Linked DNA regions of Mus musculus. The main gene of each other region encodes a partner of the protein of the gene in region 3 in a complex. Links are inferred from orthologs where the notes say so. Each region holds a gene or a part of one and is shown on either strand. Other genes may lie near its edges. The genes, in order: Stbd1, Nbr1 and Gabarapl1.

What was found.
Region 1: the proteins of Gabarapl1 (region 3) and Stbd1 are in contact, whole or in part, in a crystal structure (PDB 8X8A), measured with the Homo sapiens proteins. The link is inferred for Mus musculus from reciprocal best matches to the Homo sapiens genes GABARAPL1 and STBD1. Residues at the interface, in NP_113600.1 of Homo sapiens: Glu17, Ile21, Tyr25, Asp27, Arg28, Pro30, Val31, Ile32, Lys46, Lys48, Tyr49, Leu50, Val51, Pro52, Asp54, Leu55, Gly58, Gln59, Phe62, Leu63, Arg67, Phe104; in NP_003934.1 of Homo sapiens: Glu201, Glu202, Trp203, Glu204, Met205, Val206, Pro207, Arg208, His209, Ser210, Gly213.
Region 2: the proteins of Gabarapl1 (region 3) and Nbr1 are in contact, whole or in part, in an NMR structure (PDB 2L8J), measured with the Homo sapiens proteins. The link is inferred for Mus musculus from reciprocal best matches to the Homo sapiens genes GABARAPL1 and NBR1. Residues at the interface, in NP_113600.1 of Homo sapiens: Glu12, Tyr13, Lys16, Glu17, Lys20, Ile21, Lys24, Tyr25, Arg28, Pro30, Lys48, Tyr49, Leu50, Val51, Pro52, Phe104; in NP_005890.2 of Homo sapiens: Ser729, Glu730, Asp731, Tyr732, Ile733, Ile734, Ile735, Leu736.

What each region holds. Positions count from the first base shown.
Region 1 is NC_000071.6:92,601,713-92,605,898, forward strand, and holds the start of Stbd1 (starch-binding domain-containing protein 1), read left to right. Parts: upstream 1-1,338; 5' UTR 1,339-1,396; coding exon 1,397-1,625; intron 1,626-3,169; coding exon 3,170-3,957; 3' UTR 3,958-4,186. UniProt on the Homo sapiens protein: Acts as a cargo receptor for glycogen. Delivers its cargo to an autophagic pathway called glycophagy, resulting in the transport of glycogen to lysosomes.
Region 2 is NC_000077.6:101,576,629-101,579,675, forward strand, and holds part of Nbr1 (next to BRCA1 gene 1 protein), read left to right. Parts: intron 1-565; coding exon 566-623; intron 624-1,303; coding exon 1,304-1,409; intron 1,410-3,047. UniProt on the Homo sapiens protein: Ubiquitin-binding autophagy adapter that participates in different processes including host defense or intracellular homeostasis.
Region 3 is NC_000072.6:129,536,049-129,539,516, forward strand, and holds part of Gabarapl1 (gamma-aminobutyric acid receptor-associated protein-like 1), read left to right. Parts: intron 1-1,442; coding exon 1,443-1,521; intron 1,522-2,521; coding exon 2,522-2,640; intron 2,641-3,468. UniProt on the Homo sapiens protein: Ubiquitin-like modifier that increases cell-surface expression of kappa-type opioid receptor through facilitating anterograde intracellular trafficking of the receptor. Involved in formation of autophagosomal vacuoles.

The DNA.
Region 1 (4,186 bases), on a different chromosome or scaffold from region 3:
CTCCAAAGTCTCTCTCTCCACACGGTCCAGTTGTGGGTCTCTGTGCTAGTTCCCCTCTACTGCAGGAAGCAGCTTCTCTGAGGAGGGCTGAGTGATGCTCTGATCTACAGGTATAGCAACAGTCTATTTGAAAGTTAAATAATTTAATAATAAAACAGGAGTCAGTATTGCTCTGTTCTCCACCTCTCTACCAGTTGCAGCCTATGCCAAGAGAGGAGCAACCCACCAGGAAGTCTCTCTCAGGAGATGTGTGATCTCTTGTGATCTCAGTGATCCAGCGAGGTGCACTGTTGAGTGATTGATCCTCCCAGAGGGAGCCATGTTAGCAATAATTGCAAGGCATATACTTTCCAGCTGTGGCCTCAGCAACAGGATGTATGTGTTTAAAGGAAAGACTCCAGGTAAAACACCCGGCTCTTTACCCTGAGTAGTGTGCACATCAGCACAGCAGTGTGGTCCTTCCTTCACAGGATTTCTGTTGTGTGAGGACCAATTTAAGTTCATACACAAAACACTTTGACTATATGATGCTTTGATAAAGGGTTGCTGCTTTATTAATATTTACTTGTAGGGGCTCCGTGTCTGGGCAACATCCAGTTCAGCTGGGTGGGTGGGTGTGCAGCAACACGCGTGGCGAGAGAGAGAGAGAGAGAGAGAGAGAGAGAGAGAGAGAGAGAGAGAGAGAGGAAGAGAGAGAGAGAGAGGAAGAGAGAGAGAGAGAGAGAGAGGAAGAGAGAGAGAGAGAGAGAGAGGAAGAGAGAGAGAGAGAGAGGAAGAGAGAGAGAGAGAGAGAGAGAGAGCGCCAGAGCCTGTAACTCCCCACTGGAAACGGGAGAGAATTTCGAGTTTGAGGCAGCCTGGGGTACGGAAAGACTTCTAGGCTAGTCTAGAACCTTTTTTTAAAAAAAAGAGTGTAGGAGGTCCCAGAGGTAAAGGCGAACAAGATTGGCGGAGGTGGTGGGCCTTTATGTAGAGATTTGAGAAAGCTGGGGATGGATTGGAGCTTCCCCTAAGCCCCTGCGCCCTCCCCACGATCCTTACTCTCTCCACCCCTAATTGTGCTAACCGTCCAGTGAGAGCCTTCTCCGGCCTCAGAGCTCCGGGCGCCCATCTCCTGGCTCGGAGCTGTGCGTAACCGGGCTCTTCTGGCGTGGGATAAAGTGGAGCGGGACCAGGTGTGGAAGGGCCGGCAGCGGTGATGGGAGTGGGCGAGAGCCGGGTTGCGGGGCGGGGCGAGCGGGGCGGGAGGCGGGGCCAGGAAAATTCGCGGCGGCCGTGGAAGGCTGGGCTGGCGGCCAAGAACCTTAAAAGGATGGGGCGGGCGGGGTGGGTGTGGCCGTTCGGGTGAGCGGAGCCCTGCACTGGGGCTCGTAGTCTCCCTCAGCCTCTCTCAGCCATGGGCGCCGTCTGGTCAGCCCTGCTGGTCGGCGGGGGTCTAGCTGGAGCGCTCATCCTGTGGCTGCTGCGGGGAGACTCTGGGGCCCCGGGGAAAGACGGGGTTGCGGAGCCGCCGCAGAAGGGCGCACCTCCTGGGGAGGCTGCGGCCCCGGGAGACGGTCCGGGTGGTGGTGGCAGTGGCGGCCTGAGCCCTGAACCTTCCGATCGGGAGCTGGTCTCCAAAGCAGGTATTCTTCCTCCCCTCGAGCTAGTTGTTTTGAAGTTCTCCGGGGAAGGGGAAACGAAAGGCACTTGGAGCCATGCGGGTGGGTTCTGGTGGACCACCTTCCCCGACCTCGGACTGAACCTTCTTCAGCCCTCATCGCGTTCTGGGGTTGTCCTGTCCTGGAGAGGCCACGCGGGTCCTCCAGAGGCCGCGCCCAGCTTCTGCCGCCTCAGCGGGCACAGGCTCCTCCGCCTGGCCGCACTTGGAGCAGTGTACGAGGATGGCTTGGGGGGGGGGGGGCATCTCACAACTCTTCAGTTCCTGCTGAAGCTGAGAGGGACATCTTCTGAGTCCCAGTCGCTGACATACCACACCCCTCCTTAGATCTGGGGCTTATGAACACTCACTTCCTACTATCTGGGCAGCTTTTTCAGGAAAGTAAAATTCAGCTTAGACTTAGGTCATGAAGGCCACTGTAGCTGAGGCTTTGTGCTGGCGTGTGAACAAGTGGTGGCCTACTAGGGAATCGAACTCTGATGAGAATTGTCACCTAAGTTTAAATCTACATTTTAGAGACCCTGCATCAGGCAATCAGTGTGCACTGGCACAAACCCTTACCTCCTGTGCCCTTTGCCCAGCTGCCTGGCAGAACTTATTTTTAGTGGTGGTCATTTGTAGCTACTACGTGAAAATCTTTCCCACGGCTGGGTTTTGATAAAAGGTTCTTCAGAAAATTAGGACTCCAGAGTAATATTTGCTGACATCTCACTTTGAAGGTCATCATTAAAAAGAGGCAAACATGTAGCGCAGAGTTCTCCTAACCCCTGCTGATTTATGGTTTTAGGGCGGTCAGGCTTCTAGGAGAGGTCGCCAGGAATGAAGCCAGGGTTTTAGAGAACTTGGATAGTATACTTTTAAGAATAGTTTTTATAACTGTATGTACTTATTAAGGAGGGTGGGTGGGATGGGAAAATCTTGTGCTTGTTGAAGACATTACTTTTCCCTCAAGCCCTCCCCACCCCCACCACACCCCCCCCCCCCAGCTCCACTCAGTCTTGTTCTCGGTTTTCTTCACACTGACTGCTATGCTTTCCAGTTAGCTGGAGCTGGCCCGTCTTGTATTCACTGCCAGGGAGTTCAGGTGTACTCTCAGGTGCAGGGTAGCCATGTAATCCTTTGTTCTATAGAAGCCACCAGCATGTGAGGCTGGGCCTTGTGCTAAGCTCCTGCCCCAACCCTTGGACAGCATTTTTTTTTCTTCTTTTCTTTAAATGACAGGAGCCAAGTGACTTAACTTTGGATACCTGCCAACATGGTCTGGACTGTGGGAGACTTTGCAACTTGCCACTTCATTCTCTCTCATGGTGTGTGCTGAGACTCCCCAAGTGTGCTTTTGATCGTTGGCTCTACATGTGTGCTCTTAGAGCAGTGTTGGGAATGTTCAAATAGGTACTTGCTTTTTTTAAAACAGAGCCTTGAACTGTACATAGAAATAAAGACAAGAGCAAAAGTTTTCTGCGTCTTCCTTTGTGAACCACCTAATGTTACTGCCCTTTCCTTTCTTAGAGCATCTTCGAGAAAGCAACGGACATTTGATTTCTGAGAGCAAAGATCTTGGTAACCTGCCGGAAGCACAGCGGCTGCAGAATGTTGGAGCAGACTGGGTCAATGCCAGAGAGTTTGTTCCTGTTGGGAAGATTCCAGACACACACTCCAGGGCCGACTCTGAAGCGGCAAGAAATCAAAGCCCAGGATCTCATGGAGGAGAATGGAGACTCCCCAAAGGACAAGAAACAGCTGTCAAAGTAGCTGGCAGTGTGGCCGCAAAGCTGCCCTCCAGCAGCCTGCTTGTGGACAGAGCTAAAGCAGTCAGTCAGGACCAGGCAGGCCACGAGGACTGGGAAGTGGTGTCTAGGCACTCATCTTGGGGGAGTGTTGGTTTGGGTGGCAGTCTTGAGGCTTCTAGGTTAAGTCTAAATCAGAGAATGGACGACAGCACAAACAGTCTTGTGGGAGGAAGAGGCTGGGAAGTAGATGGGAAAGTGGCATCTCTGAAACCTCAACAGGTCAGCATCCAGTTCCAGGTGCACTACACCACAAACACCGATGTGCAGTTCATTGCAGTGACTGGAGACCATGAGAGCCTTGGGAGATGGAACACATACATCCCACTCCACTACTGCAAAGACGGGCTCTGGTCTCATTCTGTCTTCCTGCCTGCAGACACAGTGGTGGAGTGGAAGTTCGTGTTGGTAGAGAATAAGGAAGTTACTCGTTGGGAAGAATGCAGCAATAGATTCCTGCAGACTGGCCATGAGGATAAAGTGGTTCATGGGTGGTGGGGGATTCACTGACTCAGTTTTCAGAGCATCCAAGAGGCTGCAGCAGAATGTGGACAAGGCTAAGGCTTTAGAGCGCACTGCATAGCTTAAAGTAAAGGCGGTGTGATTCCAATTGTAGCCATCAGGGCTCTTTCAGATTTGCTAGTGTGGCTTTTGTCCAAAATGTAGGAAGATGTATGCCTGCAGATAATGCTTCCTGTAAGCTGGCACTTGTCCCTTATTGTATTGACTGGTTTGTGCT
Region 2 (3,047 bases), on a different chromosome or scaffold from region 3:
GAACTCAGAAATCCGCCTGCCTCTGCCTCCTGAGTGCTGGGGTTAAAGGCGTGAGCCACCACGCCCGGCCTGGGTTTCCACTCTTAAGCCTGTTGCAGACCTTGCAGAGGTGGGCACTGTGCTGTGCTGGGAAGAGCAGCCTTGGAAGCCAGCCAGCTCCAGCTCCAGTTTTGCTTTTCCTCACAGACTAATGCGGCAGCTCAGCTGGTTTGTGATGCCTTCAGGACTGCGCCCTTATTTTAGGTCTCAGGACTGTAGAACTGTGAAGGAGTCAGGAGGTCCCCACTCAAGGTCACTTCCTCTTCCAAAAAATGCCCAACCTAAAACTCTGCGAACTAACACATCAGGGTTACAGGATTAGAGGGTTATTTTTCTACTCAATGATGTCCCCAGCATTTCTAGACAATTTGTCTTCCTCTGTGACTTAAATCAGCCACAGACCTTTCTAAAACTTAAAAGAGGAAAAGAAAGGAGAAAAAAACTAAAGACACCCCCATTAACTTGCCGCCTGCCTTGATAATAGCTTGTGGGTGCTGCAGCTAACCAACAGCTCTTTTGCTTTTAGAGCCCAGAGGCTCAACAGGACTCGCAAACAGCAGACAGAGGAGCTGTGACCACTCAAGGTAACGACCTTGTGAAGTCTCTTCTTGAGAAACAGGAAGACATCCCAGCATTGCTTCTGCTTGAATGAGCCTCTGAGAGCAGGTGGCGAGCACCTTAAATGAGCACCTTCCAAGCACAGGAAGGAGCACCCTCATTCCTCCTTGTTCTTACGTCTGACACTTATGAGCACCACCGGCAGAGAGCTAAAGCTCATGCTTAAGTGCATCACTTTTTAGGGATTACCCTGAAATCCACCTCACCTGTAATGCCCAAGAAGACAAGCAGGCCAAGCCCCAGGTGCATCTAGCTGGTTTTCTTACATACCGCTGCCTCTCTGGTCCCTGCCGTCTCAGATCAGAATCCAGAAAAATCACATTTCCTTTGCCAGGTTTTCTCTGAGATGTACAGACAGATGGCTGATATCCAGGTGTGCCCATGACCACATTAATTTTCAGCTGGGATGGAAAACTGGCGTAGTAACTAGGGTGTGCGTTTCCTGCAGTACTCAGGTCTTCTGCCAGCCGAGCCAGAGCCCTGCAGCAAACCAAGATCTGTAGCTATGAAAACATTTCATTCTCTCTTTTTACATCTGATTTTTTTTTTCTTTTAAGGATACCTTATTTTTCTTTCGAGATTATCACCCACATTATCTTGTAAGGTCATGTTTTATTAGGGGAGATAATTTGGTTTTCCTCTGTAGGCACCACAATGGGAGCAGCATTGCTGGAGGACTGGTGAAGGGGGCTTTGTCTGTTGCTGCCTCTGCGTACAAGGCCCTGTTTTCTGGGCCACCAGTCACTGCACAGGTCAGTGTGTGGTTTCTTTTCCTTAACTTCAGCCCCCAAGTCACCAGTGCAAATGGCAGTCCTTCTGTCTGGATTGGCAATTAACATGGCAAGGACTATGTGTAGACAGTCTCTTTAATGAACACACAGCCTGCCCGCCATTTCCTATCATTTTAATTAATTAAGCTACTCTGGGAAAAACAGGAAAAGAACCTAAGATTTGTTGAAGACTGCATGTACAAAGTTGCTGTTCTACAACAACGTAGTGGACATACTACGGGATAATAAGACACACATTCCTGTCAAACAACTGTAGGGAATTGGCAAAGTATATACATTTCCAGGACAGGATAGGACACTGTGCTAGTGCATCTCCACCTACTGGGACTGAGGCTCTTGGGAGTTAGTATCTGAAGCACAAAGCAAGTGTACCCCAGAAAAGTAATGCTGGATATGATAGCGCTCACCTATATTCCCAGCTACTCAGGAAGCAGAAAAATTGCAAGTTCAAGGCCAGCCTGGGCTACATAGTAAAACCTTTTTTCAAAATAAAATTTGAGAATATAAAACCATAAAAAGGTACAAATGTAGTTTAGTAACAGTAGAACTCTTGCTTAGCACCCTAGGTTCAGTTACAGGTCTTGTCTTCTCCTTTGGAGATAGAGTAGTGTAGCTGGAAGAGTTGTGAGTGAGCGGATGATGGATTGATCTGAAGAGGAGAAAAGACCAACTCTAAGTGCGGGGGTTTTATTCTAAGACATAGAAGGGGAGGGTTGTTGTGTTGTTATGGGTTTGTTTGTTTGCTTTTGGAACAGAGTCTCTACATATCTCTGGCTGTCACTGTAGAGCAGGCTAGCCTTAAACTTACAAATTCATCTGCTTCTGAGAGCTGGGACTAAAGGCTCTACACCTCCATTAACAGGAAAGAGATAGGCGCGTGAGGACCTGCCGGTGATTTAAGTGATTAGCAAAGGAGTGCAAGGATAAAGCTCAGGCTTTAGCCTAGGTACTCAGTATCACGCATCTCAGTGAATAAAGGTGCTTGCTGCCAAGCCGTGACACCCGGAGTTCCGATCCCGGGAAGGAGAGAACTGACTCTCACAAGTTGTCCTCTGGCATTCACATGAGCACCCCACACACAAACATACAGTAAAATGCATAATAAACTGGGCGTGGCGGCGCAAGCCTTTAATCCCAGCACTTGGGAGGCAGAGGCAGGTGGATTTCTGAGTTTGAGGCCAGCCTGGTCTACAGAGTGAGTTCCAGGACAGCCAGGGCTACACAGAGAAACCCTGTCTCAAAACTAAAAAAAAAAAAAAAAGCATAATAAATACACCCCCAAGTAAAACAAGTTTATTACTTGCCAGTTTTCTTAATGTTGAATTTACAACTTATCCAGGTTAAAAGTAAAGTCATGCAGCATGCAGTTGGCTGTGTACACCTCCATTACAGAGGATGGATTTGACCTGAGGCTGAAGTTTGAGAGTCATTTACATACAGGTTCTAGCAGGAGCTGTGTGATTGGATAAGATTATCCAGGAAAAATAAAAGGCAGAAGCAGCCTTTTAAGTATCAAAGCAACAGGATTCTACTAAAACAGAACTTAGAAGAAACAGGGCCACTGCTGCAACTTGGGGAGGTTTATAAGGGATCAGTAGA
Region 3 (3,468 bases):
TTTGGATTCACGTCTGTCTACCCAAGCATTTTCTTGTACTTGTTTGTATGGTATCTGGGGGTGGACAGGTATGTGGCTTGATGAAGAAGCTCGAAAAGGTCGGAAACACACTGACAGACACTCAGCTTCTAGGGATACTTGTCCAGTGTTGTTTCTGCTTCTTTGCTTTTGTGTATTTCCCATTTCTTATCTCTAAGATGAGATTTTCAAAACAAAGAATCTAATGTTAATATTCTTGTCAGATATTTTCTGTTCTCTGAGCCACTCTGTAAACATCACCGAAGATTTTGTGTCTTTTTCTTTGTTACAAAATGCAGAATCTTTAAAAGTGTTATGAAAAAACTTAATGTCGACATTGAAAGTCCCTTAAAATTCTAACACGGTTACTAATGCTGAATAACTTAGTGTGTGACTCTCAAAAAGTGTCCCTCATTATAAAAATTCAAAATAGCTTTCACTCAGCAATGAACACTTTTCTGCAAAGATTGAAATCTGAACCACATTACGTGCGTGTGTATGTGTATGTGTGTGTGTGTGTGTTAGTCATCACTGTAGCAGTGTCTGAGAAGGTCAAATTCTATAGGGAAAGAAAGCTACTGACTTCAGAAGTCTTTGTCCATGCTCTTAGATGGCCCCAGTCTTTGGCCTGGTGGTGCGTCAAACTATCGTGTTAGAAGCATAGAGGCACAGATGAGGGAGGATTAGTCTCTGGCTCAAACACCTAAAACCTCCATGATGCCCCACCCCTTAAAGTTTCTACCACTTGCTCATAGCACCAAGGCAGGAGCACTTTTTTTTTTTTTTTTTAACACAACGGCCTTTGAAAGGCAGTGAAGTTCTAAATTATAATGTTGTGCTTGTAACAAATGGCATTTCCCCCTCTGTGTAAGTGTGTACACAGGCGAGGGAGCATGTGTGTGATTGCGTGTATGTATGTGGAGGCCAGATGTTGGTATCTCACACAATTCTTGCTTACTCTTCACATTACTCAGTGTGAATCCAGAGCTTGCCCCTTTAGTTACTCCAGCCAGCCAGCTTGACCCAGGGATCTCCAGTTTCTGCCTTCCCAGCATGGGGACTGCACATCCAGTGGGCACTCACATGGAGTTTGGGGATCAGAACTCAGTCTTCACACTTTGACAGAGAGCGCTTTTGTGACTGCTTCTTCTCCTGGGTCTGTAAATGGTATTTTAGAGGAAAAATAAATAGGTCATCAGACACATCTTAGAAACACAGAACATCTCTTCAATTCTCTAATAAAATACCGTAGGGTGAATGACTTTTATAGCCCTTTATAGGTAATTTGTAGTTGTTTAAACTCAAGGAGTATTGGAAATGGGGACTGAAAAATGAGACTGGACAGCATGGGCAAATTTCAGGTATGTAAGGAAAAAGACAATGCTAGGCTGTCTGGTTTTCATCCCAGTCTCCTGTTCTTCTAGGTCATCGTGGAGAAGGCTCCTAAAGCCAGGGTCCCTGATCTGGATAAGAGGAAGTACCTTGTGCCCTCCGACCTCACTGGTAACCATCTTTCTCTCTTCTGACCTTTCATTCCAGGCAAAGCATTCTTGATCTTTAAGTCTAAGTTGGTGACTATATGGGTTGTCACTGCATGTAGGTGGTGACCTTGCATGGTTTCCTTCAGTGAGCTGGCCAGTACAGATAGGCATACTCTGCCCTCCTGTTTCTAGTTCTGTTTGATATTTCCCAATGCCATACTCATGTACCCTAGTCATGGAGACACAGGAAAGCAGTACTCTGGGAGTAAAGAACAAAAGTTTGTCATTTATACCACTTTAAAAATCAGCCATGCTATCCTGAGGTGGATCGATTTATATCAGCTCCAGCCGTGTCTTGGGTATTGTCACCAAGGAGGATCACATTTCAGAGATTTATATCCAAATACTTTATCTTTAAATGTGCTTCTGTCTGGGAGATGAAAACTGCAAAACCTAGCCTACTTTCTGTTTTGAATTATATGTATTTAGAGTTTACCTTGTTCTTAAAGAAGTACCAGGTGCCTTCAGGATGCCCTGGAAAGATTCTTTTAGATGCAGTGTTCACGCATTTGCCTGTCAGCCTCCCAGAGCTTCATTGTTTGCAGGAAGAAGTTGCGTGGGCTCATTGTCCCAACATTTGCCCCCATGGTACTGGGAGGGCCAGAGTGCAGTGGATCTCTTCCTATTGTTAGCTCTTAGAGTGCAAATGGGACCCCAAAGGAATCAGGAGTCCATTTAGATGGGAATGCTTGGATCTACATTGTACTCCCCCACAATAGTCGTGCTGGATAGATTTGCTAATATTGAGTCTGAAGATGGATGAGGAAGAAGGGAGGGGACAGTCCCAGTGTGGTGGGTCAGACACTGTACATGCCTCCTTTTCTATTTTCCCACTAAGGCTCTCGGACAGCTTTTGGGTCTGAAAAGCTTGTACTTACACAATAGATTTTATTTTGTTTTCTGAGGTTTCTCCTACTAATCCTTTTTCATTTCTCACCCTGCTCTCTGTTTCCTTCCTGTAGTTGGCCAGTTCTACTTCTTAATCCGGAAGAGGATCCACCTGAGACCTGAGGACGCCTTATTCTTCTTTGTCAACAACACCATCCCTCCCACCAGTGCTACCATGGGCCAGCTGTATGAGGTAATGGTCTTGATCACAATACCCAGCAGCCTGGTGTCCCTTCGCTCTGGTTCCAGGGTTTGTTAAACACCTGGGAAGTAGGGCAGGAGGTGTTATTTATGGGGATCCTCTTACACACAGCACTGTGACGCTGGGAGATTAGATACCCTTTGTCCTTTAGGGACTGAGCACCTACTCGATTTAATCTTTTGAAATCTCTCTCTAGTCTTTCCTGACTGTAGTACTTTATTGCCGGTTCCAGTGGTTCTTGGTAGCAAAGCATCACCATGCTCACCCTTCTGTTACTGTCTCTGGAAGCACAGTTTGTTAGTGAACTGTGCACTCCATTTCCTGCCTGTCAGCCATCCACATCTAGCAATAGATGGAGAAAAGAGACACCAGCAACCCTTGGCTCCTTTTCCGTCTGAACCTGGAGCCCTGTCTTCCCAGTTAGCTCCCACATAAACGGCCAAGATTCGGCTTAGGACAGGCACATCTGGAAGCTCTCTTTCTAGAGCAAACCGGAGGCCACGTAAGAGTTTCCATTATCTGAGTACAGGGAATGAGTTAAAGTGTCAAGTTAGGATCTGATTTGGGAAAAACTGTAGTGAGGACTTCATATACAAATAATGTGACCTAAGATTGTGACTGTACTACTCCTTGTACGATGTCACACATGATACTGCCTTCCCATTGTGCTCCAATAGTCAGATGCACATCTAGTAACCCCTGGTCTAGCCCTTATTATTCCATAGCATATATTCCCGTGAGTATGTATGCCAGTAGATGCTTTGTGGTTTCTGTGCTCTCCTTGCTAGAGTGAGGAGTTTTTTTTTTTCCTTTTTTTAA